6 linked regions of the Oryctolagus cuniculus genome follow. The main gene of each other region encodes a partner of the protein of the gene in region 5 in a complex. Links are inferred from orthologs where the notes say so. Each region holds a gene or a part of one and is shown on either strand. Other genes may lie near its edges.

The links.
Region 1: EXOSC7 (region 5) and EXOSC6 share a complex: the UniProt entries of both Homo sapiens proteins name them as parts of the RNA exosome core complex. The link is inferred for Oryctolagus cuniculus from reciprocal best matches to the Homo sapiens genes EXOSC7 and EXOSC6.
Region 2: EXOSC7 (region 5) and EXOSC1 share a complex: the UniProt entries of both Homo sapiens proteins name them as parts of the RNA exosome core complex. The link is inferred for Oryctolagus cuniculus from reciprocal best matches to the Homo sapiens genes EXOSC7 and EXOSC1.
Region 3: EXOSC7 (region 5) and EXOSC3 share a complex: the UniProt entries of both Homo sapiens proteins name them as parts of the RNA exosome core complex. The link is inferred for Oryctolagus cuniculus from reciprocal best matches to the Homo sapiens genes EXOSC7 and EXOSC3.
Region 4: EXOSC7 (region 5) and EXOSC4 share a complex: the UniProt entries of both Homo sapiens proteins name them as parts of the RNA exosome core complex. The link is inferred for Oryctolagus cuniculus from reciprocal best matches to the Homo sapiens genes EXOSC7 and EXOSC4.
Region 6: EXOSC7 (region 5) and EXOSC2 share a complex: the UniProt entries of both Homo sapiens proteins name them as parts of the RNA exosome core complex. The link is inferred for Oryctolagus cuniculus from reciprocal best matches to the Homo sapiens genes EXOSC7 and EXOSC2.

Annotation. Positions count from the first base shown.
Region 1 is NC_091449.1:56,939,994-56,942,863, reverse strand, and holds EXOSC6 (exosome complex component MTR3), read right to left. Parts: upstream 1,672-2,870; 5' UTR 1,598-1,671; coding exon 782-1,597; 3' UTR 501-781; downstream 1-500. UniProt on the Homo sapiens protein: Non-catalytic component of the RNA exosome complex which has 3'->5' exoribonuclease activity and participates in a multitude of cellular RNA processing and degradation events.
Region 2 is NC_091446.1:32,404,429-32,407,583, reverse strand, and holds the end of EXOSC1 (exosome complex component CSL4), read right to left. Parts: intron 2,735-3,155; coding exon 2,701-2,734; intron 1,678-2,700; coding exon 1,627-1,677; intron 1,499-1,626; coding exon 1,414-1,498; intron 937-1,413; coding exon 830-936; 3' UTR 501-829; downstream 1-500. UniProt on the Homo sapiens protein: Non-catalytic component of the RNA exosome complex which has 3'->5' exoribonuclease activity and participates in a multitude of cellular RNA processing and degradation events.
Region 3 is NC_091432.1:200,611,408-200,615,595, forward strand, and holds the start of EXOSC3 (exosome complex component RRP40), read right to left. Parts: upstream 2,801-4,188; 5' UTR 2,734-2,800; coding exon 2,410-2,733; intron 1,169-2,409; coding exon 1,019-1,168; intron 1-1,018. UniProt on the Homo sapiens protein: Non-catalytic component of the RNA exosome complex which has 3'->5' exoribonuclease activity and participates in a multitude of cellular RNA processing and degradation events.
Region 4 is NC_091437.1:167,909,073-167,912,454, reverse strand, and holds EXOSC4 (exosome complex component RRP41), read right to left. Parts: upstream 1,991-3,382; 5' UTR 1,916-1,990; coding exon 1,745-1,915; intron 1,349-1,744; coding exon 1,142-1,348; intron 1,059-1,141; coding exon 699-1,058; 3' UTR 501-698; downstream 1-500. Other genes in the region: GPAA1 (glycosylphosphatidylinositol anchor attachment 1 protein), read right to left, coding at 1-71. UniProt on the Homo sapiens protein: Non-catalytic component of the RNA exosome complex which has 3'->5' exoribonuclease activity and participates in a multitude of cellular RNA processing and degradation events.
Region 5 is NC_091441.1:102,789,516-102,793,015, reverse strand, and holds part of EXOSC7 (exosome complex component RRP42), read right to left. Parts: intron 2,750-3,500; coding exon 2,648-2,749; intron 2,364-2,647; coding exon 2,269-2,363; intron 1,821-2,268; exon of another isoform or gene 1,724-1,820; intron 1,718-1,723; exon of another isoform or gene 43-1,717; intron 1-42. UniProt on the Homo sapiens protein: Non-catalytic component of the RNA exosome complex which has 3'->5' exoribonuclease activity and participates in a multitude of cellular RNA processing and degradation events.
Region 6 is NC_091432.1:233,342,206-233,346,421, forward strand, and holds the start of EXOSC2 (exosome complex component RRP4), read left to right. Parts: upstream 1-1,416; 5' UTR 1,417-1,471; coding exon 1,472-1,593; intron 1,594-4,216. UniProt on the Homo sapiens protein: Non-catalytic component of the RNA exosome complex which has 3'->5' exoribonuclease activity and participates in a multitude of cellular RNA processing and degradation events.

The sequences.
Region 1 (2,870 bases), on a different chromosome or scaffold from region 5:
AGCCATGCTCCTCTGCTTTCCCAGAAGCCAGTTCACCCGCCCTCTCCCCAGGGGCTCAGGCTGGACAACGGGCAGATGAAGGCAGCCCAGGGGCCCACTCAGCGGCAGTGCAGGCCTTTGACTGGACTGCTGTGGCCCTGGCCACGGAAGGCTGGGATCCGGCTTCCACCCCCAGCAAAACCCTTTCCAGCTCTCGGGAACCCTGCGCTGGGGCCTCTCGCGGCACAGCCATGAGCTCCGGGACCCCCGAGTGCTCCCGGGCCGTCCAACTCTCCTCCCGGCGCAGCAGCCGCCCTCACGGGCACCGGAGGCGGCGGCGTGTCTTCCTGCCAAGCACACGGCCCACTTCTAAACCCGCAGCTGCTTCAGGATTCTGGCCCGTCTGGTCGGCTCACCGGTCCAAGGGACACGACACAGGCGGGGCAGTGCTGTCCTGAGCCTCACCGCCAGGGAGCCTTGCTCTCTCTGAAAATCCTGTACTAAGAACCACGACACGCGTATTTCGAATACAAAAAAAAACGGTTTTGTTGTTTCAGTCCCGCTGTGAGAAGGCGCAGCGCCCTGTCCATCGTCTCCGGAGTCACACAGATCCCGCGCTCCGGACCAGGCCGGCTCAAGTCCTTCCCAGCTCGGGAGTAAGCAAGCAGCCCGCGGCTTCCTGCGCTGGCTTCTGGCTGGGGACTGGAAAGATCGTCAAACGTTCGTCTGTCGACAGCCGTTCCAACGCAACTGTCCATCTCCGCACGCTCTGTCCGCTCGCGGCTCCACTTCGCCCGCCGGCTCAGGGCAGGGCGGCGCCCCTGCGGCGGGCGGCCCGCACCAGGCACTGCTGCAGCACCGGGTAGAGTCGCTGGCAGCCCTCGAGGCCCAGCCGCACGGCTTCGGCCCAAGTCTCGGTCGCGTCGCCCTCCCCGCTGCCCAGCAGCCCGGCCACCTGGTTGAGCACCGGCATGAGGGCCACGGTGAGGCCGGCGGCGGCGCGCTCCTCCTCCAGCCGCGTCGGGTCCAGCAGCCAGGCGGGCGTGGGCCCCTGCGCGCGGCTCAGGCCGCAGCCCACCACCAGGTCGTACATCTCGACGCCCGCGTCGGCCAGGGCGAGGGCGGCGGCCGTGAGGGCGGCGGCCAGCGCCGAGCCGCCGTCCTCCAGCAGCAGCGCCGACACCTCGAGCTGCGCGCGCGGGTAGCGGCTCAGGCGCACGGCCGGCTCCAGCGCCTCCTGCAACGCCAGGGCCAGCTCGCGCTCCTCGCCGCCGCCCGGAGGCGCCCGGCGCCGGCGGCCCGAGAAAGGCGCACGGCGGAAATCGCAGACCAGGCGGCCGCGCAGCGCGGCCGGGGCCTCGCCGCCGGCGCCGGCAGGGCCGCTCCCTCGCTCGCTGCCCTCGACCTGGCGTGGGCCCGACACGGCGCACAGCACCTTGGTGCCTCCCGCCTCCAGGTAGGCCGAGCCCTTGGCCTGGCTCAGCAGCCCGGCGCGCGCGTACACCGGCCGCAGCCGCGTCGGGTCTCGGGCGGCGGGCTCCTCTTCCTCGTCGGCGGCGTACAGCTGCGGCGGCTGCGACTCGTCTGGTCCGCGGATGCGGCGGTGGTCCCCGGGCATGGCGGCACCTGGCGAGCACACCGCTTCCGCCCGTCGTCCTACCGCGCGCTCCGGCTCTTCCGCCCGCTTGAAGACGCGCGCTCGCGCGGGGGCTGTCGGGAGAGCCGCAGGCAGTCGCGGCTGCACTGCCCCCTGGCGCCGTGGAGGGAGAACGGCTGCGGCGCCAAGGCTTTGAAGCCGCAGCAAGGTTGCCCAGGGCTGGACGGGCCGGTTGACTGTCTCCCAGGCCAGGTCCTACCCGAGCGCTTAGTCTTCTCACTTATGCAGGCTGTAGTTATCTTAGTTTTGCACTAATCTGTGGGACTATTTTATATGTCCCCACCGGGGAGTTGGCCTTGCTCACTCCCAAGCCCCTGGCTGGCACGAAGGCCTATATGATGGATGGAATCTCTCTCCAGCACTGGCTTTATGTAAGTCTCTTTGTATCATTAACACGGACATCAACACCCCCTTTCTGCCTCCCCTTCCCACCCTGAGAACCGCCCCTCACCCCAGCATGCACCTGCTTTTCCTTCTCCCTCCACTGTCAGCAGCACCGTGACCTGGGCTCTGGGGCCAGCCGCTGTATCCAGAGGACAGGACATCCGTTGGGGCTGGCACAGGCAAGCAGTACCTTCACCTTCCAAACTCTGCCATTTTAGACTTGGGGAAACTGGACTCAGAGACCGGCCAGTGTCTTTGGGTCAAGTGGGAGTGATGGGCAGACACTAGAGTAGGAGGCAATAGCTGCACCTTAAACATCTTCTGTACCAGAGACTGCCCTCCAGCCTCATACCCTGACCCCACATGAAGAGCTTCAGAGGGAGGGGAGGGACATGAGCCAGAGCCGCCGCCTGCAGGGCTGGCATCCGATGTGAGCACCAGTTTGAGACCAGCTGCTCCAATCCAGCTCTCTGCTATGGCCTGGGAAAGCAGTGGAAGATGGCCCAAGTGCTTGGGCCCCTGCACACGCGTGGGAGACCTGGAGGAAGCTCCTGGCTTCGGATCAGCACAGCTCCGGCCACTGCAGCCCTTTGGGTAGTGAACCAGTGGATGGAAGACCTCTCTCTCTCTGCTTTTCTGTAACTCTGCCCTTCAAATCAATCAATCTTTAAAAGAAAAAAACAATGGAGGTTCTCCAGGCGCACCTTTGCTTTGTAACCCCTCGGACCACTGAATTATTAGAGCCTCTCTCTCCATCTCACCCCCGTCTCCACAAACACTGAGTTCAAGGGTTTAGGGCTGGACTGAGCTGGAGTCAGCATGTTTTACACACCCTCGGGTAGCCAAGAGC
Region 2 (3,155 bases), on a different chromosome or scaffold from region 5:
GCAACCCCTCCATCCTTGACTCCATCCCTTCCTCACTCGAGCTGGGCCCTGCATTTCGGCTTCTGCATTTTGCTAGGGCTGCTGTCTGCCTCGAATATCTTCACTTTACTCCAAATTCTGTCATTCCTTTCCCGGCCACCTCACGTGAAAGCTCTGTCCGTCTTTTCAATTCCGATGGGTCACCCAGTCCTGGAGTACCCAGTACATCAGAAACCCTATTTTCACCAAATACTCTGCAGACCTATTCACGTGCTACCTGGATGAGCCCATCCGTGCTACAGTTTTCACTGTGCCGTAATGTACTGAAGTGAGGGGTGTACCTAGAGCCTGGAGCAGTTAGCAGAAGCATTTAAAACAGAACTCAAAACAATGCAAAAGAGGCTGGTGCTCAGGCTTCGTCTAAGCAAATGACACCCGTCGATCAGTGGGCGCCATCGGCAAAGCCTTGCTCTAAACGTTATGACACATTCAGGGGTTTTTCCCAGCTCAAGACAACAGCAGCCTGTAATAAAATCCTTTTAGTAAAAAATGTTTTCTTGATCACAGCAAAATATACACATTTATAAAGATACACTGTCGGGAGGAACAGGCTATTTCCCACAGGCCACAGCTCGCAGTTTACTGAGCCCCCGGAGGAGGAATGTCATCACTCGAGGGAGGGAAATCCACTCACAGGAAGGCTTCATCTGCACAATGAGTTTCCTGGTCGAGTCTTCTCGGGCAGTGCTGGCTGACCCTGGCCTTTGACGACAGACAATGCATCCGGGTGCTGTTTTCATACCTATGCTCTCAGAAACAGCTGAGCCCTCCGGGGGGTCACCATGGCCTCCTAGGTCTGCAAGAATTCAGGCTGCACGCGGGCCACTTTCCGGAACTCCTTAGTGTGGGTCTTAGGGCACTGCATCTCACACCAGCTGATGGGAACCATCTGGACACCTGGAAGGGAAAAGCTGGGTTTGCAGCTGGGACCTCAGATGTTTGCTTGAAGCCCTTTTCTTTCAGATGGGTACGAAGCTGAAGTATTACCAGGCTACCAGCAAACCTCCCCTCATACGGGAAAACCGTGTTTATCTCATGATTTATGAAGTGAGTCCCACCTCCTTAGGGCTAGCAGAATCTCATCTCTGCAGTAAGCACAGCCACGCATCACCTGATGGGGGCATGCGATTTCATAGTTGTGTGAACATCACAGGATGTACGGCTGCAACATCACTAGGTGATAATCTCATGCGACCACCAGCCCAGATGCAGTCTGTCACTGACCAAAATGCTGTTATGCAGTGCATCATGGTACCTACACTTATATTGCTTCCCAAACAATGACAAACTAGGGAAAGTCAGAAAATTAATGCATTGATCCCAAACCATACCAGCCAAGGAAGAATCAGAATGTAGAAGTGTAGACCAACTCACCTGACTCACTATGGGCCACCACCACTCCCAGCTCATTTTCAGCTGTGGTCAGCAGGTAGTTGGACTGGGCGTCACCTAGAGAGATCTAGTCACACAACAGCGGTGAAGGAAAATGAGAGGTTACAAGTCTTCCCCCCTTAGCCACTTGGGTTGTTTCTCTAGTTCCATGTCTTCTTCACGAAGAACCAGAAGTCTGCTGGGAATAAAGGATACCACTTTGGCCAAGACAATGTCCCCTGGACGGAAACTCTTGTATATTTCAACCTGTGAAGAAAGCATAGTGGTGTTAAGTGAAGCTCTGGATCAGAGCCACACAGAATCCTTAGCCCCTCTGGGAGAGCTTGTCGCCTATCTAACCCCAGCGGGGAGAAGGCATCATAGCCTGTCAGTCAACATCATACAAATCAGATTTTGAATTCAGTAATCCAATCAGGAATCAGACTACTGAATTTACTATAAAAAGGTACTATAGGGGCTGGCTTTGAGGTGCAGTGAGTTAAGCCACCACCTGCAACACATATCTGTATCCCATTTGAGCGCCAATTAGAGTCCCTGCTGCTCCACTTCTAGTTCAGGTCCCGCTAATGTGCCTGGGAGAACAGCAGAGGATGGCTCAAGTATGTGGGCCCCTGCCACCCACATGGGAGACCTGGAGTTTCTGGCTTCTGGCTTCAGCTTGGGGAGTGAACCAGGGATGGAAGACAGCTCTCTATGTAGCTGTCTTTCAAGTAAATATTTATCTTACAAAAAAAAAAAAAAAAAAAAAAAAAAAGGGCGGGGCAAGCACTGTGGCGCAGCACGTTAACGCCCTGGCCTGAAGCGCTGGCATCCCATGTGGGCGCTGGTTCAAGACCCAGCTGCTCCATTTCCGATCCAGCTCTCTGCTGTGGGCTGGGAAAGCAGTAGAGGATGGCCCAACTACTTGGGCCCCTGTACCCGCGTGGGAGACCTGGAAGAGGCTCCTGGCTCTGGATCAGCGCAGCTCCAGCCACTGCAGCCATCTCAGGAGTGAACCAGTGGATGGAAGATCTTTCTCTGTCTCTAACTCTCTCTGTAACTCTTTCAAATAAATAAAATAAATCTTTAGAAAAAGAAAAGATATAAGAGGTACTGCAGTTGGTTCTGAAAGATCCAGGACTACATCTGAGGGGACAGCAATGAATAAATACTTGGCTTTAAGGGCAAACCTAGCCCCACTCAGGTCAGATGAATTAACATAAATGTGAGTAATTGTAAAGGATTTCAATTGCTTCATTCATGGAAGAGAAAAACGAACCAACCAACAACCTTGTCTTTTTCAGTGGCTCGAACATCTTCCTTCCTACAAAAAAAAAAAGTTCACCAAAGGTTAATTATCTTCGAGAAAAACTGTCCTGAAGGTTCCTAGCAGGTGAAGGACTCTCAGAGCAGACGGAACAAGTCTTGACGGGAGCCAGCTGCCACCCAGAACGAGGGGGGGAGGCATCTTCGCCCACGGGAGAAAGCACTTGCCCATTGTCAGGCCATGCAGAGCAGCAGGAGCAACACCTCTGAGTACAGAAAGAGATCAGAGGCGGCAGGAAAAGATAAGGAACTTTGCTGCTTCAAGAGAACTGGAATGAAATGCCACAGAACCACACCAGACCCTGCAAAATCGAATTATCTGAGGTGGGTGTTTGGTGCAGTGGTAAAGCCGCCACTTGGGATTGTCCATGTCCTATCCTGCACTGCCCGGGTTAAGAGTCCCCACTCCGCTCTCCATT
Region 3 (4,188 bases), on a different chromosome or scaffold from region 5:
CTGTTCTGTTCACTCAAGGAAACATTAAATATCTACTTTTTGTCAGTGACCACGTTCCTAGAGAGGAACAAAACACTGTCTGCCTTTCAGAAGCATTTGGTCTTGGAGTGCAGCTGGGATGCACAGATTAGATTTCATTCGAGGCCAAATTCAGTTAAGTGCTAAAGCAAAGATAAAAAAGTGATGACTGGCAATGCCTTCACAAAGATGGTCCTGTTCACCCCAGATCCCAAAGGATGAGCCTGTGCAATCCCGACAGGGAACAACCTGAATGACCCAAGCAAGATACACGGGCAGGAAACTGAGTTCAGTAGAGTATGGTGTGATTCACGCACGCTGTGAAGGAGGTAACGCTGAGGAATTCTGCAGGCTTTGAAGAATCTTCCTTTTAGTCTGAGAAAGGGGATATCAGCTCCCCAAAGCCTCTATGGATGGGGTAAAAGGGTGGAGGTAAAGGAGTTAATAGGATCACTCACTGACTTCAGTTGTGGGGGCGGGGGTTTAAGGCCTGAACTTGCAAAGTGGAGACAAAGGGATGGAGGTAGGCTCAAAATAGGATTAAGCAACTAGTGACTAGAGGTGAAAGGGCAAAGAAGCCACCAAGTTCCTGGCTTGGGTAGACAGGAAGGGTGTGGCTATGCGACCTGAGAAGGCCAATTGCAAACTTTAGGTAAGAAGATGACTCCTCTGCAGGGCGAACAGACAGCTGCTGCTGATCTGCACCACCTGTCCTTCCCCCTCTCTAAGGCTGTGCCTGACCTTGGCCAGTGGATACGGACCTAACAGGTAACAGCGGAGAAAACAGAACCTCTCCCCTCCAAGGTGAAGCCTCCCAGGAACCAACGTCACAAATATAAACCAAGTGTGTGCCTCTGCTCCTGCAGACTCTGAAGGAACTCTGAGAGCCCGAACACTCAGAGATGATCCCGCACAGCTGGGAGAATGGCCAGGCTCTGGAGACAGGTCAGGCAGCTGCTGGATAAATGAACGTCCTAGGGGTCAAAGGCGCCATCATTACCTGCACATTAGGTCTGTTTCTTTTCGTTGCACCTTCAAATGCCAAGTAAGACAAAGAAGCTGGCTCACTCCCTCCAACGTCAACTTTGAATATATCTCCAGACTTAGCCGTCACTATGCCAATCACGTGGTCTCCTTTCACTGGAACATACTACAAAACAGAATTGAGAGAACAGCCATAAATGGCAAGCTATCATTGCAAGATATCTCCAGCAAGTTAGCCTTAGTTGTTGTCATTAAAGAGATAATTTTAAATATTCCGAAATGCAAGTTTACAAGTTAACCCATACAAGTTTGATTATATGCCATTTTCAGTAAAAGAGAGATCACAGTATAAACTCTCAGATTTACAGCTTCTATTCATTTTTTTAAAGATTTATTTATTTTTATTTGAGAATCAGAGTTACACAGAAAGGAGAGAGGAGGATAGAGGAAGAGGGGGAAAGGGGGAGAGAGGTCTTCCATCCGATGGGTCACTCCCCAGTTGGCCACAGCAGCCAGAGCTGCGCCGATCCAAAACCAGGAGCCTGGAGCTTCCTCCAGGTCTCCCATGTAGGTGCAGGGGCCCAATGACTTGGGCCATCTTCTACTGCTTTCCCAGGCCATAGCAAAGAGCTGGATCAGAAGAGGAGCAGCCGGGACTCGAATGGGCGCCCATAAGGGATGCCGGTGCTTCAGACCAGGGCGTTAACCTGCTGCACCACAAGTGGCCCCTACAGCTTCTATTCATTTGAGCCAGTATTTACCAGTAAGTCCCTAGCTTCTGCTGCATCCAAGTCCAGTGGCACTGGAATCCTTAGAACCAGGAAAGCACATTCCATTGTTAGACACTTTTTCCTACCAGGAAAGTTCTCACCTAAGAGCGATTTAACTCCCTGTAACTGCCACTCATTGAGCCTGGTTCTGCTCGCTGGGACGCCAAAGGTCAAGCCTGCTGTTCCAAAACCACTGGGATTTTAATGACAATAACCATGATTCAGTCTCCAGAGGCCTCTGTCAGGCTGCATCCCTACTGTTCATGGTCCTACATACAGTGGCTGCTGAGGTGGGCCCTGCACTACGGTGGTTCCAAATCAGCCTTAACGCAGCAAGGCACCACGGCCGCGCCCCCCACCCCTGACTTAACACAAGGCCCCTCGGCGGCCCCTTCCACGCTCACAGCCGCGCCCCCACCCCCCGCCTTAACACTGCAAGGCCCCACGGCGGCCTCTTCCACGCTCACGGCCGCGCCCCCACCCCCCGCCCTAACACAGGAAGACCCCTCGGCGGCCTCTTCCACGCTCACGGCAGCGCCCCCACCCTCCGCCTTAACACTGCAAGGCCCCACGGCGGCTTCTTCCATGCTCACGGCCGCGCCCCCACCTCCCCGTCCCCCCCGGGATCCCAGCTCACCCGCTTCTGTTGCGAGTCCACCCAGTAAACGCCACCGCCACTGCCACTGCTGGGCTCCTTGTGGCGGAGGAGGCCGCACTTGGTGACCAGAAGACGATCGCCAGAGCGCCGCAAGCCCGGGCCGCACACCACGCGCACGCGCGAGCACACCCCGGCATTCAGGCGTAACGGCCGCTCCCCGGCCCCGCCAGCGCCGTCTGCGTCCTCCTGTTCCGGCAGCAGCAGCTCCTCTCCTGGGAGCACCACCTGGTTCAGAACCGTGCACGCCGCCCGCGCCCCGCTGCCCGCGAGAGACTCAGCTGTGACAGGCGCAGATTCAGCCATAGTAGGCGTCACTAAACACTGCTTCCGGTACCCAACTTCCGCTTCCGTCTCCGAGTGGAGCAGCCAGCCCACGGCCGGATTTCCGCTTCCGGCCGTGGCTGTCGTTTGGCCTTGCACCCAAGTCTGCGAAGCCGGGTCTCTGCCAGCAGGCGGGTGCTCCTCGCCCAAGGCGGCTGTGATTGTGTCAGGACCCGAGCACCTGCCTCGTGGTCTGCCCGCGGGTCGGCAGTGAGCCACGCCCAGCTTGAGTCCACTGGAGAAGCCTGCACTTCCGGTCGCACCCCTGGACTACAAGATACTTCTCATAGGATCCCTGGAGAATTACGGGAGCTGAACAGAGGGACTTTGGAAACTACTTTGTGGGGCTCTTTTCGGACGCTACCTTCAGAAGTGTGCTGACCTTTACCAGGAAAAGTACTTTTTCTTCAAAGTAAAACTTCTTGGGGACCTGCGTTGTGGCCTAGTGGGTAAGGCTGCTGTGGTTCGAGTGCCGGCTGCTCCACTTCCCATCCAGCTCCCTGCTCACCTGGGAAAGCAGCAGAGGATGGTCCAAATCCTCGGGTTCCTGCATCCGCCTGGGAGATCTGGATGAAGCTCCAGGCTCCTGGCTTGGGTCTGGCTCAGCCCCTGCCTTGGAGGCCATTTGGGGAGTGAACCAGGAGGTGGAAGAGCTCTGTCGCTCTGTAACTCTGCCTTTTAAATAAATAAAATAAATCATAAAAAAAAAAAACACCTTGATTGTAACTAGAGAAGAAAACGTATTGGTCTTGCCTGTTTGTGTGCTCTTCCATGCCGACCACTCTAGTTCTGATTGTAGCCCAAGGTCTGGTATGAAACAATGCCTGGGCCGGCGCCGAGGCTCACTAGGCTAATCCTCCGCCTGCGGCGCCGGCACTCCAGGTTCTAGTCCCGGTCCGGGCGCCGGATTCTGTCCCAGCTGCTCCTCTTCCAGTCCAGCTCTCTGCTGTGGCCAGGGAGTGCAGTGGAGGATGGCCCAAGTGCTTGGGCCCTGCACCCCATGGGAGACCAGGAGAAGCACCTGGCACCTGGCTCTTGGCTTCGGATCAGCGCGGTGCGCCGGCAGCGGCGGCCATTGGAGGGTGAACCAATGGCAAAAGGAAGACCTTTCTCTCTGTCTCTCTCTCTCACTGTCCACTCTCCCTGTCAAAAAAAAAGAAAAAAAGAAACAATGCCTGATAAGTAAATGAATATAGTAATACTGTGACACACATTTGCCCCTAGACTTTTCACCCTGCAAAAATACACATCGCATTCACATATTATCTCTGCATGCCTGGGAAAATCAGTAACTGAGTTAAATTCCTACAGCTACCTTACCAAGAGCACACTTTTGATGCCCACGTGAGAAACCAAACACCTCGTACAGGTACTTCAGGGCTTCCAATCTTCCGACTTCTTGAGTCAGGCATAATTAATGAAATTGCCATTTTCTAT
Region 4 (3,382 bases), on a different chromosome or scaffold from region 5:
CCCAGACCAGAAGGCGGGGAGGCCCCTGCGCATGCCCAGGCCAGAAGGGTCGCAGGAGGCCCACTGCGCATGCTCTGAGCGGCGACTCGCCGGAAGGCCGCGGGGCTCGGGCTCAGCTGACTGGGGGTGGGCCCAGGCAAGGGAGGCAGCTTCCAGTTCGGCCAGACCGTGCACGAACGGGCCAGACCGGTCAGGGGCGGCGAGGAAGCATCAGCTGGACGGCTGGCAGGAGACGGAGGTGAAGCGCAGGGCGGCAGCGAGCAGCCGACGGGGATGAAGGGCTTGGAGAGGGAGGCCGGGACGGGGAATCCTCGCCGTGGGTGCCCTGCACCGAGGTCGCCGGTAGGGAGCGCGCTGCCCCTGTCCAGGCCAGGGGGTCCCCGAGGTGGTCCGGGAGACGCAGCTCCTGGTTCCCTGCTGCAGGGCTCGGGCGGGTGACGGGGGCGCAGTGGTGGGCGGGGAGGCAGGGGCCGAGCAGGGGAGAATAATGCAGGCAAGTGCACGAGGTTGTGGTACTTTTAGAGCTCAAGGTAAGGGACAGAACGGCCCAGGGTCTCCTGGGGGAAGGGGCTGCTCAGTGCAGCCCACAGCGCCCACAGCCGCCTCCCGCCGCCTGCGCGCACCGCACCGGCCCTCCAGGTGCGACTCCGGAGCAGGTCACGCGTGGGAGAGGTCCGCACGGGCCCGGCGGCCGCTGTTCAGTCCCCCAGCAGGATGGAGGCCTCGCGCACGTGCTGCCGCACGACGCGGTCCAGCAGGGTGTGCACGCCGCGCGCAGCCTGCGCAGCCGCCTCCAGCACCTGCTCCAGGTGGTCTTCGTGCAGGCGAGCGTCCATCTCCAGCAGCGCGATCTGGCCGGAGGCCGGCAGCAGGGCCAGAGCCAGCTGGGGGCTGCCCGACGCCTCCTCCACGTGGCTGAGGTCCGTCAGCGCTGTGCCGTCCACAAAGCCGGCCGAGCAGGCGCACACGAAGTCCCGCATGGGTATCCCGGCGTCCAGCACTGCCAGCGTGGCCGCGTTCACACAGGCCGCGTAGGTGCCCCCGTCCGCCTGCAGCACCTGCAGGGCCCCCGAGGGGCGTCAGGCGGCCGCCCCACGCCCCGCAGCCCCTCCCTCCGCGTGCGGGGCTGCGGCCAGCTCACCTGCACGTAGATGTCGATCTGGGAGCGTGGGTGCAGCTGGGTGAGGATGGCCGCCTCGAAGGTCTGGCGCAGCTGCAGGCCCAGCTCACAGGACTTGCGGTCCCCGTGCGGCCGGCGCTTGCGCTCGGCTGTGCTGAACGTCGCCGAGCTGTACTGGCAGTTCACCAGGGCCCGGTCGGGCAGCGCGCGCGAGCGGGAGCCCCGGATCTGGAAGAGGGGCGCCTCGTGAGCCAGGCCCAGGCCCCCGGCCCCCGCCCTAGTCCGCAGCGGCTGCTCGCCCAGCGCCGCCAGTCGCCTCGGGCGCGCGTCCCTAACCCACTCCCCGGGGCTACGCGGGTTCTGTGGGAGCTGCACCTCAACCCCCGCCTCCCCACTGCGCGGGGAGTGAAACCCCAAACCCTGGGAAAGCCTCACGGCGGACGGGTGCCCGGCTCTCCCCACCCCAGTCCGCCCACTGCTCGCGCCGACAGGCAGCGCGTGTGGACTGCCGCGGGCCGGGCCGTCGAGGTAAGGGAGCGAGAGCGCCCGGCACGCGAAGCGCCGCACGGCGGCCGGTGGGCGTTCGCTCCGAGGGCGCGCCGCCGCCGCCGCCCGCTCACTCGCCTCGTGCGGCCCGTACACCACCGCCAGCGCCTTGGTGTTGCCCTGCTCGATGTAGGCCGAGCCGTCGGCCTGCGCGAACACCCCCATCCGCGCCTGGATCTTGCGCAGCTCCCCGGCGCGCCGTCCGTCCACCCGGTAGCCCTGGTCCGACAAGAGCTCCAGGCCCGCCATGCTCGCGGCCGCCCGCTCCGCGCTCGGCCGGCCGGAGAACTACACCTCCCATCAGCCCCGGCACTTCCGGCGGCCAGGCCGCACTTCCGGTCCCTGAGGCCCGCGGCTCCGCGCGGTGTGGCGTCACTTCCGGCGCCGCGGTCCCGGGCGGCCTGCCGCGGCCGCCGGAGCTGGCGGGGCTCCGTTCTCTCGGTTCCTTGCCGTTCTAACTTTTGTTGAGTTTAAAAGCTGGGCGCGACCTCGTACGATACGGTCGTATCCGCGGAGTTGTGACTCCCTCAGGCGCTTGTCACCCCGCGGCTCTGGGGGCGCTGAGCCTGTTCCCTCGTACGCACCTTTTTGTGTTGCACAAAACAGCGCGGAATCCCTTCGCGTGGTCCTGCAGGGCTGCGTGGTGGCCGCGGAGAGCGCACCCCGAGGGCAGGGGCTTCGGGGCGAAGGCCGCAAGCAGGGCAGCGCGAGCTCTGCTGCTTTCCCACCGAGCCTGGGAACTGACCGTGTCCGTGGGAAGGGGCCCGGACCTGTGCGGCCAGCACCTGCCTCCGCTGGGCCGCATCCCACCGCAGTCTGCAGGTGGAAAGAGGCGCGCCGGAGAGGAGAGGAGACGCGGGCGCCGGTCCCGTGCTCCCGGGCTCTTGCCTCCCGTACGCCCAGCTCCCACAGTGCCCGCGTCCCCTTTGAGGGTGCAGATGCCCGCACCCTTCCAGAAGGCGGTTGGTGCATGCTTGGTTCTTGCTGCGGGACCTGCACGCTGTCACAGAGCGGAAGTCCCTGGGTAGCTTCGCACAGTCCACAGTTGGCGCTCAGTGGTGGCTGGCGCCGTCTTGAATGCTTCCTCCCCGTGGCCGCTGCTGTTAGCTGCAGGCCGTCGGCGCACACCTGCCTGGCTTCCCCAAGCAGCCTGGGCTTTCCCTCGGCTTGGTGGCGGCTCCCAAGGCAGCGCCGCGTGTGTGGCGACTTCATGACTCAGCCCCAGAAGTCCGCGTTGCCTCTGCCGTACCGCATGGCCCAGGCTTAAGGGGAAGGGACAAAGCGCAGCTGCCCTGGACGGCGTGGCGATGCAGACAGGCTGGTCCAGGGTCCAGGTGCAGCGCTTGCAGCGTCTTCTCCGTAGTGGCTGTGGCCGCGGCCGTGAGGGCTGGTCCTCTGCCACTGACCACTCTGGGTCCCCCACGCTCTACCCTGCTGCTGGACGAAGCTGTCTGCTAGAAGAGCAGCCGCAGCCCCTTGCCTCGGTGGCCTGAGCTCACTGTCCCGTCCTCACTGGGCTGGAGTGTCGGCCTGACCTCTGCTGTCCTCCTCCCTGTCTTGACTGGGTGAGGTGAAAATACTGAGGAGCCTGCGGTCCCCTGGGTCCCTGCCACCGCTGCAGCCCCAGCTTCACGACTCAGAGTAACCAGGAAGTGCCAGTCTTCAGCCTAAGCGACCAAAGTGGGTGAGTGGTAGCCAGGGGCTTCCTCCAGCCCT
Region 5 (3,500 bases):
CAATGAGAGGGAGGAAGCAGAAAGCAAATCACAGTTCCTCACCCGGGCTGCCTGCTCCTCAGAACCATTTACTGCTCTCCATCGGGCAGATCCTGGCCAGGAGAGGCAGTCTGCTTCCTCCAGGAGCATCCACAGGAACCTAGAGAATGGGCCATCTGCAATTCAGACTAGTGAGAGCAGCTAGGAGGAACCAGAAGCCAGTTGAAATGGTAGCAACCGGCTGGAAGGATAACTGAGCAGAAAGGTGACCGTGGACAGCTCCTGACATCCAAGTGCAATGTTCCTGAGAGCTGGCCTCTGTAGGCTGCATGAGAATGGACAGACCTGAGCTGGCATTTTTAGCTATGTGATATTATGGAAGTCTCTTACTCTCTGAACTCCATTTGTCATCTCTCTCGAGATGACAGCAGGAGTGCTGTGAGGACCACCTTTTGTGTAACTCACCACCTGAACATGGGTTAGCACTGTACAAAGCGCGGACACGGTGGCAAGGGGAGATTGAGAAGAGCCTGTCTGTGGGCTGGCCCTTGGCTGGCATCTGGGAACTTGGCTCTCAGAGTTCCCAGTCAACAGCAAACTGATGGGGCAGTGCACTGTGCGAGACCATGCAGTACGGGTCATGCTAAACACCTGCTCTCCTAGGATCCGGAATCTTGGGATGCATTAAACAGAGGGTGTCTATGTGACCAGCACCCAGCAAAAACCTGGGGTGCTCAGTCTCACGGGGTTTCCTAGACACAAATGTCACAAGTAGCTGGTGTACAAGGGCACTTCGAAAAGGCTATAGGAAAATGGTATTAAAACATTGTGAGGGGCCGGCGCCGCGGCTCACTAGGCTAATCCTCCGCCTAGCGGCGCTGGCACACCGGGTTCTAGTCCCGGTCGGGGCGCCGGATTCTGTCCCGGTTGCCCCTCTTCCAGGCCAGCCCTCTGCTGTGGCCCGGGAGTGCAGTGGAGGATGGCCCAGGTGCTTGGGCCCTGCACCCCATGGGAGACCAGGAAAAGCACCTGGCTCCTGGCTCCTGCCATCGGATCGGTGCGGTGCGCCGGCCGCAGCACGCCGGCCGCAGCACGCCGGCCGCGGCGGCCATTGGAGGGTGAACCAACGGCAAAGGAAGACCTTTCTCTCTGTCTCTCTCTCTCACTGTCCACTCTGCCTGTCAAAAAAAAAAAAAAAAAAAAAACAAAAAAAAAAACCATTGTGAGGGGCTGACGCTGTGGCACAGTGGGTTAAGCTGCCACCTGTAACACTGGCAGCCCATGTGAGTGCTGGTTCAAGTCTCTGCTGCTCCACTTCCTACCCAGCTCCCTACTAATGCTCTTAAGAAAGCAGTGCAAGATGGGCAAAATGCTTGGGCCCCCACCACCCACGTGGGACACCTGGATGGAGTTCCAGGCTCCTGGCTTTGGCCTGGCCCAACCCCTGCTGTTGCAACCTCTTGGAGAGTGAACCAATAGATAGAAGATCTCTGTCTCTCCCTCTCTGTAACTCTTTCAAATAAACAAATCTTTTTAAAAAATTCTAAAATCCATGCAGTGTGTCATAATATGTATTTTCCACACACATTCTGAAGACTGCTCCTATTTTCATTGCTATCATAAATTGTAGCCAGGAGTGCAACTACGTGCTAAGCCCTGGCAGCCAGTCTCCAAACACGGAAGTGGCCCTGGGGACGCCCAGCGGAGCATCAACACCAAACACCCACATGGAGCAGGAGCTTACCTGCTTCAGGAAGGCCTGCTACAACCACCTGCTTCTAGAAACATGGTTATAGACAGAAGAAGGGACCAGGCCAGCAATCCAAAAACACTCCCAACCCCTAGAGGGGGAGATAACAAGAGGGAGAGAAATAACTTTTAAAAAGATTTATTGAAGAGGCAGAGAGAAAGAGACAGAGAAGCACACTATCCCATTAGCTAGTTGATTCTTCAAATGCCTACAAGAGCCTGGGCTAGGCCAAGGGTGAAGCTGGGAGCCAGGAATGCAATCCAGGTCTCCCATGTGGGTGGCAGGAACCTCATTACTTGAGCCATCACCACAACTTCCCAAGGTCTGCACTGGTGGGAAGCTGGAGTCACTAGATGATTAAAACAAGGGCAAGGCTCTTGAGAACCCGGCAGGTAAGACGAGGCAAGTGAATACCTGCCAGATGGCCGAGCGACAACTAAATGCAAACCAAGAGCATGCGCCACAGGAAACCAGGGGTTCCCATTCTCCATCTGTACCCGTTAAATCACCCCCTCTGAAAGCACTGCATTAGTACTGACCAGTCAACAAAGAACTCCACGTAGCCCTCATCTGGCTTCTCCAGCTTTGGCGTCCCCATTTCCGCTTTCACTCCCACCAAGATGTCGGTATGACCCTGCAGACACAGACGAGAAGGGTCCTCACTGGAGGCAGGCAGCCAGGCACCCAACCACCAGCCTCCTCTTCGGGACATGTAGCCCTGAAGGACTTGGCAGGTGACTTCCGAGGAGGGGAAGGGTGTTTCAGATCTGAATGGACCCCCCTCCCTGAGCTGGGCTTGGACCTTGGATGTCCCCAGGAGCAAGCTGCATTCCAAAAGCCGCAAGGGCTCCTCTGCACTGGCTCCCTGGGGCCTACCCATGTCTCCACCTGGGAATGAACTGTGGCCCCAATACTCACCAGCTTGACCCTGGCAGACCCACTGGTGTTGGACACCACATCGGTTTCCACTTCGACACATCGGTAGTCTTCACAGCCACGGCCATCCACACGGAGGTCTTCCTGAGTGCAACAACCACAGTCCTAAAGCTGTGACCCCAAAATGACCGGACTCCTTGACCCATCCGCTGCTGTCTTTCCGCTCGAGAAGTATACAGTGCTTCTCCCTTCCTCTTAGTGGGACATCCAGAATTCCGTCCTCTGAGCTAATATTACCATAAGGGAAATGGAGACGTGGGGGGCACTAAGAGTCTCACTGCAGGTCCTTCAGCTGGTGTGTCTGGCACTGCAATTCACAGGATGAACCACCACCAGAATATGGACCCAAAAGTCAAACCCAAACAGGTTTGGAAGCTTTTTTCTTTTTTTCAGAAAAAGAATCATTAGTTTATAAGTTATTCAAAGGAGCTGATGTACCACCAAAACATAAAAAACAAAAAAAAAACCTCCCCACCTGCCCAAGGCCAGCATTGTGACATAGCGGGTAAAGCCACCACCTGCAACACCAGCATCCCATAGGGGCACTGGGTCTAGCCCCAGCTGCTCCACTTCTGATCCAGCTCCCTGCTAATGCACCTGTGAAGACAACCGAATGTGGCCTAAGTGTCTGGGTTCCTGCCACCCACGTGGGAAACCTGGCTAAAGCTCCTGGTTCTGAGCTTTGGCCTGACCCAGGCCTGGCCATAGTGGCTTCTGGGGAGTGAACTAGTGGATGGAAGACCTCCCTCTCTAACTCTCCCTCTAATTATGACTTTGAAAATAATAAATCTTGGGGCCGGTGCTGTGGCGCAGAGGGTTAAAGGCCTGGCCTGAA
Region 6 (4,216 bases), on a different chromosome or scaffold from region 5:
CCGGGAGGCACAGCTCCTTTAAGCAGGAGTGGCAGATAAGACCACACGGGACAGGCATCGCTCCACCGGCAGGGACTCCTGTGACGTGACAGGCAGTGCCCGGCACGCGGGCGGAGGCTGCTGTGGGCACAGACGCAGGTGCAGGCCTTGGTTGTGTGTGCGCATTTGCCCTCTCCACCACACACACCTGCCTCGCGGGGTGTGGCCTGCTTCGCTTCACTTCTCTTTCTCTTTTTTCAGAGAAGTCAGCTGGCTCAGCAGTGTCCGGCGTGCTGCCTGTGGGTGGGGGTGCGGGCTGGGTTGACCCAGCAGCCGTGAGGCGGCTGTTCTGACCGACTGGGGCCACTGGGAACAGTGTGAAGTGGGGCGCTTGGGGCTGGCGCCAGGGCACAATGGGTTAAGCCATCACCTTCTATTCTGGCATCTCATGTGGGTGCAGGTTCAAGTCCCGGCCGCTCCACTTCCGATCCAGCCCCCTGCTAATGCTCCTGGGAAAGCAGCAGGGGATGGCCCAAGTGCTCGGGCCCCTGCACCTGCATGGGAGACCTGTGGGGGGAGTTCCTGGCTCCTAGTTTCTGGCCACTTGGGGAGTGAACCATCAGATGGGAGATCTTTCGCTGTCTCTCCCTGTGGCTTTGCCCTTCAAATAAATCTTTTTTCCCTAAACTTGGAACACTGCTTTAGAAATTGCTTGGCTCCTTAAACACTGTCTTTTTAAAAGCATTTATTTATTTGAAAGGCAGAGTTAGAGAGAGAGAGAGAGACAGAGAGACAGTGAGACAGAGAGGTCTTCCATCCACTGGTTCACTCCTCAAATGGCTGCAAGGGCCAGAACTGGGCCAGGCCGAAGCCAGGAGCTTCCTCCAGGTCTCCCACGAGGGTGCAGGGGCCCCAGCACTTGGGCCATCTTCCACTGCTTTCCCAGGCGCATCAGCAGGGAGCTGGATGGGAAGTGGAGCAGCTGGGCGCCCAATGGGAAATCAGCGCTGCAGGCAGCGGCTTACCCCCACTGCGTCCCAGCGCCAGTCCCAATAAATCTTTTGAAAAAAAGAAAGTATGGCTATGCTTTCTGTTGAAATCGTGTCCTCCTGGGCGCTGTCATACAAAAATCAGATTTTAGCGGCTTAGAGCTGGACGGAAACTCAGAGGCCCATTCCTCAATTACGTCTAACGCTGGTAAACAATAAGCAGGATGGCAGTACCAGACAGCTTTGATAAAAAGCCACAAACAATAGCTTGTGGAATGCCATCACGCCACAGGTGCACCCTTGCCAGTAATAAACGTGGAAACTCCGCATTCCTCCCCTTCGGGTTAACATAACGGTTGCCAGTAGTCAACATGGCTGCCACACCGTGCGCTCCCATTGGCGGCTGCCCTGAGGCCCCGCCCCAGACCGCCCCTCTCGGAGTTGCCGGGCTGAATTCCGCGGCTCCGGGCCGAGCTGCGCCTGCGCAGGTTATTGGCGCCAAGATGGCGATGGAGATGCGCCTTCCGGTGGCGAGGAAGCTTCCCAGCGAGAGTCTGGGGCGTGATACCAAGAAGCACCTGGTGGTGCCGGGGGACACGATCACCACGGACACGGGCTTCATGCGGTACGGGGGGCCCCGGGGTGCAGGGGGCGGCCGCAGGGCTCTGCACGTGATCTGCGGGCCCGACCGGGGCCCAGGGCAGCCCCTCGGCGTCGTCTGCGAGACGAGTCCCTGACGCCGCCTCGCCTGCACTCTGGCGGCCCCGACTCTGGGGGTCTGAAGCGCCGATCTCTGGGCGTTCCTTGCTGGGGGCGGGAGGAAGGGGACTCTACGGGTCCGGCCGTGTCCGGGGGCGGGGGCGGGAGGAGGGGGACTCTGCGGGTCCCGGCGGTGTCCGGGGGCGGGGGCGGGGGGCGGTAAGTCGGGGTCTCTGCGGGTCTCGGCCGTGTCCGGGGGCGGTAAATCGGGGTCTCTGCGGGTCCCGGCCGTGTCCGGGGGCGGTAAATCGGGGTCTCTGCGGGTCCCGGCCGTGTCCGGGGGCGGTAAATCGGGGTCTCTGCGGGTCCCGGCGGTGTCTGGGGGCGGGGGCGGGGGGCGGTAAGTCGGGGTCTCTGCGGGTCCCGGCGGTGTCTGGGGGCGGGGGCGGGAGGAAGGGGACTCCGCGGGTCCCGGCGGTGTGCGGGGGCGGGGGCGGTAAGTCGGGGACCCTGCGGTTCCCAGCCGGGGGCGGACGGAGGGCAGACTTGGCTTCCCTCCTCCTCCCTGAGCCCCCCACCCAGCTTGGGCCCGGGGTAGGGGTCGTTCCTGTGTGGGCTTAGGAAGACTCAAGGTTGCATGAACTACCTTGCATGAATACACGCTGTGCCGCAGGGCAGTGCAGGGCCTTGTAGTTGGGGGACAAGGGGGGCTCCCCGCCTGCCAGTCACCTTATCAGAGGTCCGGTTCCTGATCTGTAAGAATTTCTGACGGGAGTTACTGAAGGGTCGGATGGGAAAGATACAAGACTCACCGTTAGATCGCCGGCAGAGATAAGCACTGGCAGTGTTTCAGCCTCTTGGTTTTTTGTAGGAATGCACGTTTGCCGGGTGTACATCATCTTCAGCATCAATATTTGTTTATTTTTATTTATTTGACAGGCAGAGTGGACAGTGAGAGAGACAGAAAGGTCTTCGTCTGTTGGTTCACCCCCCCAATGGCCGCCATGGGCCTTGCGCTGTGCTGATCCGATGGCAGGAGCCAGGTGCTTCTCCTGGTCTCCCATGGGGTGCAGGGCCGAAGCACTTGGGCCATCCTCCACTGCACTCCCGGGCCACAGCAGAGAGCTGGACAGGAAGAGGAGTGACTGGGACTCGAACCCAGTGCCCATATGGGATGCCAGTGCCACAGGTGGAGGATTAACCAAGTGAGCCGCGGCGCCGGCCCCTGCTTATTTATTTTTGAGAGAGACAGAGTGTTGTTTCACTTCTCAACTGCCTGCAACCCTCTGGCTGGAGCCAGGAGCCAGGAGCGCAACGTGGGTCTCCCACGTGGGTGGCAGAGAGCCAGTCGCTTGAGTTGTCACTGCCGCTTCCCCGGGTCTGTGTTCGCAGGAAGCCGGAGCCAGCAGTCAGACCCAGGCACCAGATGTGGGAGGCCGGCTTCTTAGCTACAGGCTGAACACTTGCACGCCCACCACCACTCCCCTAACTTCTCCCGGGGCTCCCGGGCAGGTGCAGGGGCCCAAGCACTGGGCCCTCCTCTGCTGCTCTCCCAGGCCATAGCAGGGAGCTGGACGGGAAGTGGAGCAGCCAGGACTTGAACTGGCACCCACATGGGATGCCGGCGCTGCAGGCGGAGGCCCAACCTGCTGGCCCCACCCCAAGTTTGAGGTTGTTGGAATCTCCGAAATGTTAAAATTCATTCCTGTGTTCGTACTTTCGCCATATATTTGTAGTCCGTGTGGTCTGGGTGTAGCAGTGAACAAAATGAATTCTGTCCTGGCGGAGTTGGCGTCTGGGGAGACACAGATAGTGAGGAATATGTTGGCCGGCGCCGCGGCTCACTAGGCTAATCCTCCACCTGCAGCGCCGGCACACCGGGTTCTAGTCCCGGTCGGGGCGCCGGATTCTGTCCCGGTTGCCCCTCTTCCAGGCCAGCTGTCTGCTGTGGCCAGGGAGTGCAGTGGAGGATGGCCCAAGTGCTTGGGCCCTGCACCCCATGGGAGACCAGGAAAAGCACCTGGCTCCTGCCATCGGATCAGCGCGGTGCGCCGGCCGTGGTGGCCATTGGGGGGTGAACCAACAGCAAAGGAAGACCTTTCTCTCTCTCACTGTCCACTCTGCCTGTCAAAAAAAAGAAAAGAAAAAGAAAAAGGAATACGTTAGCACAACAGCAGACAAGGAGTGGGGTCAGTGTTGCGGCACCAGGGGTTAGGCCATGGCTTGAGGCCCCAGCAGCCCGTATCCCAGCCCAGGTTAGAGTCCCGGCTGCTCCACTTCTGATCCAGCTCTCTGCTGTGGCCTGGGAGGGCAGCAGAAGATGGCCCAAGGGCTTGGGCCCTGCACACACGTGGGAGACCTGGTGGAGCTCAGGGCTCCTGGCCTGGCTTGACCCAGCCCCAGCCCTTGCAGCCATGTGGGGAGTGAGCCAGGGATGGAAGATATGTCTGTCTGTCTCCCTGTCACTCTGCCTTTGAAATAAATAAATAAATCTTAAACAGCAACAAATAAGGCATAAATGGAGAGCGTGCTTGGGGATACGGCGGCAG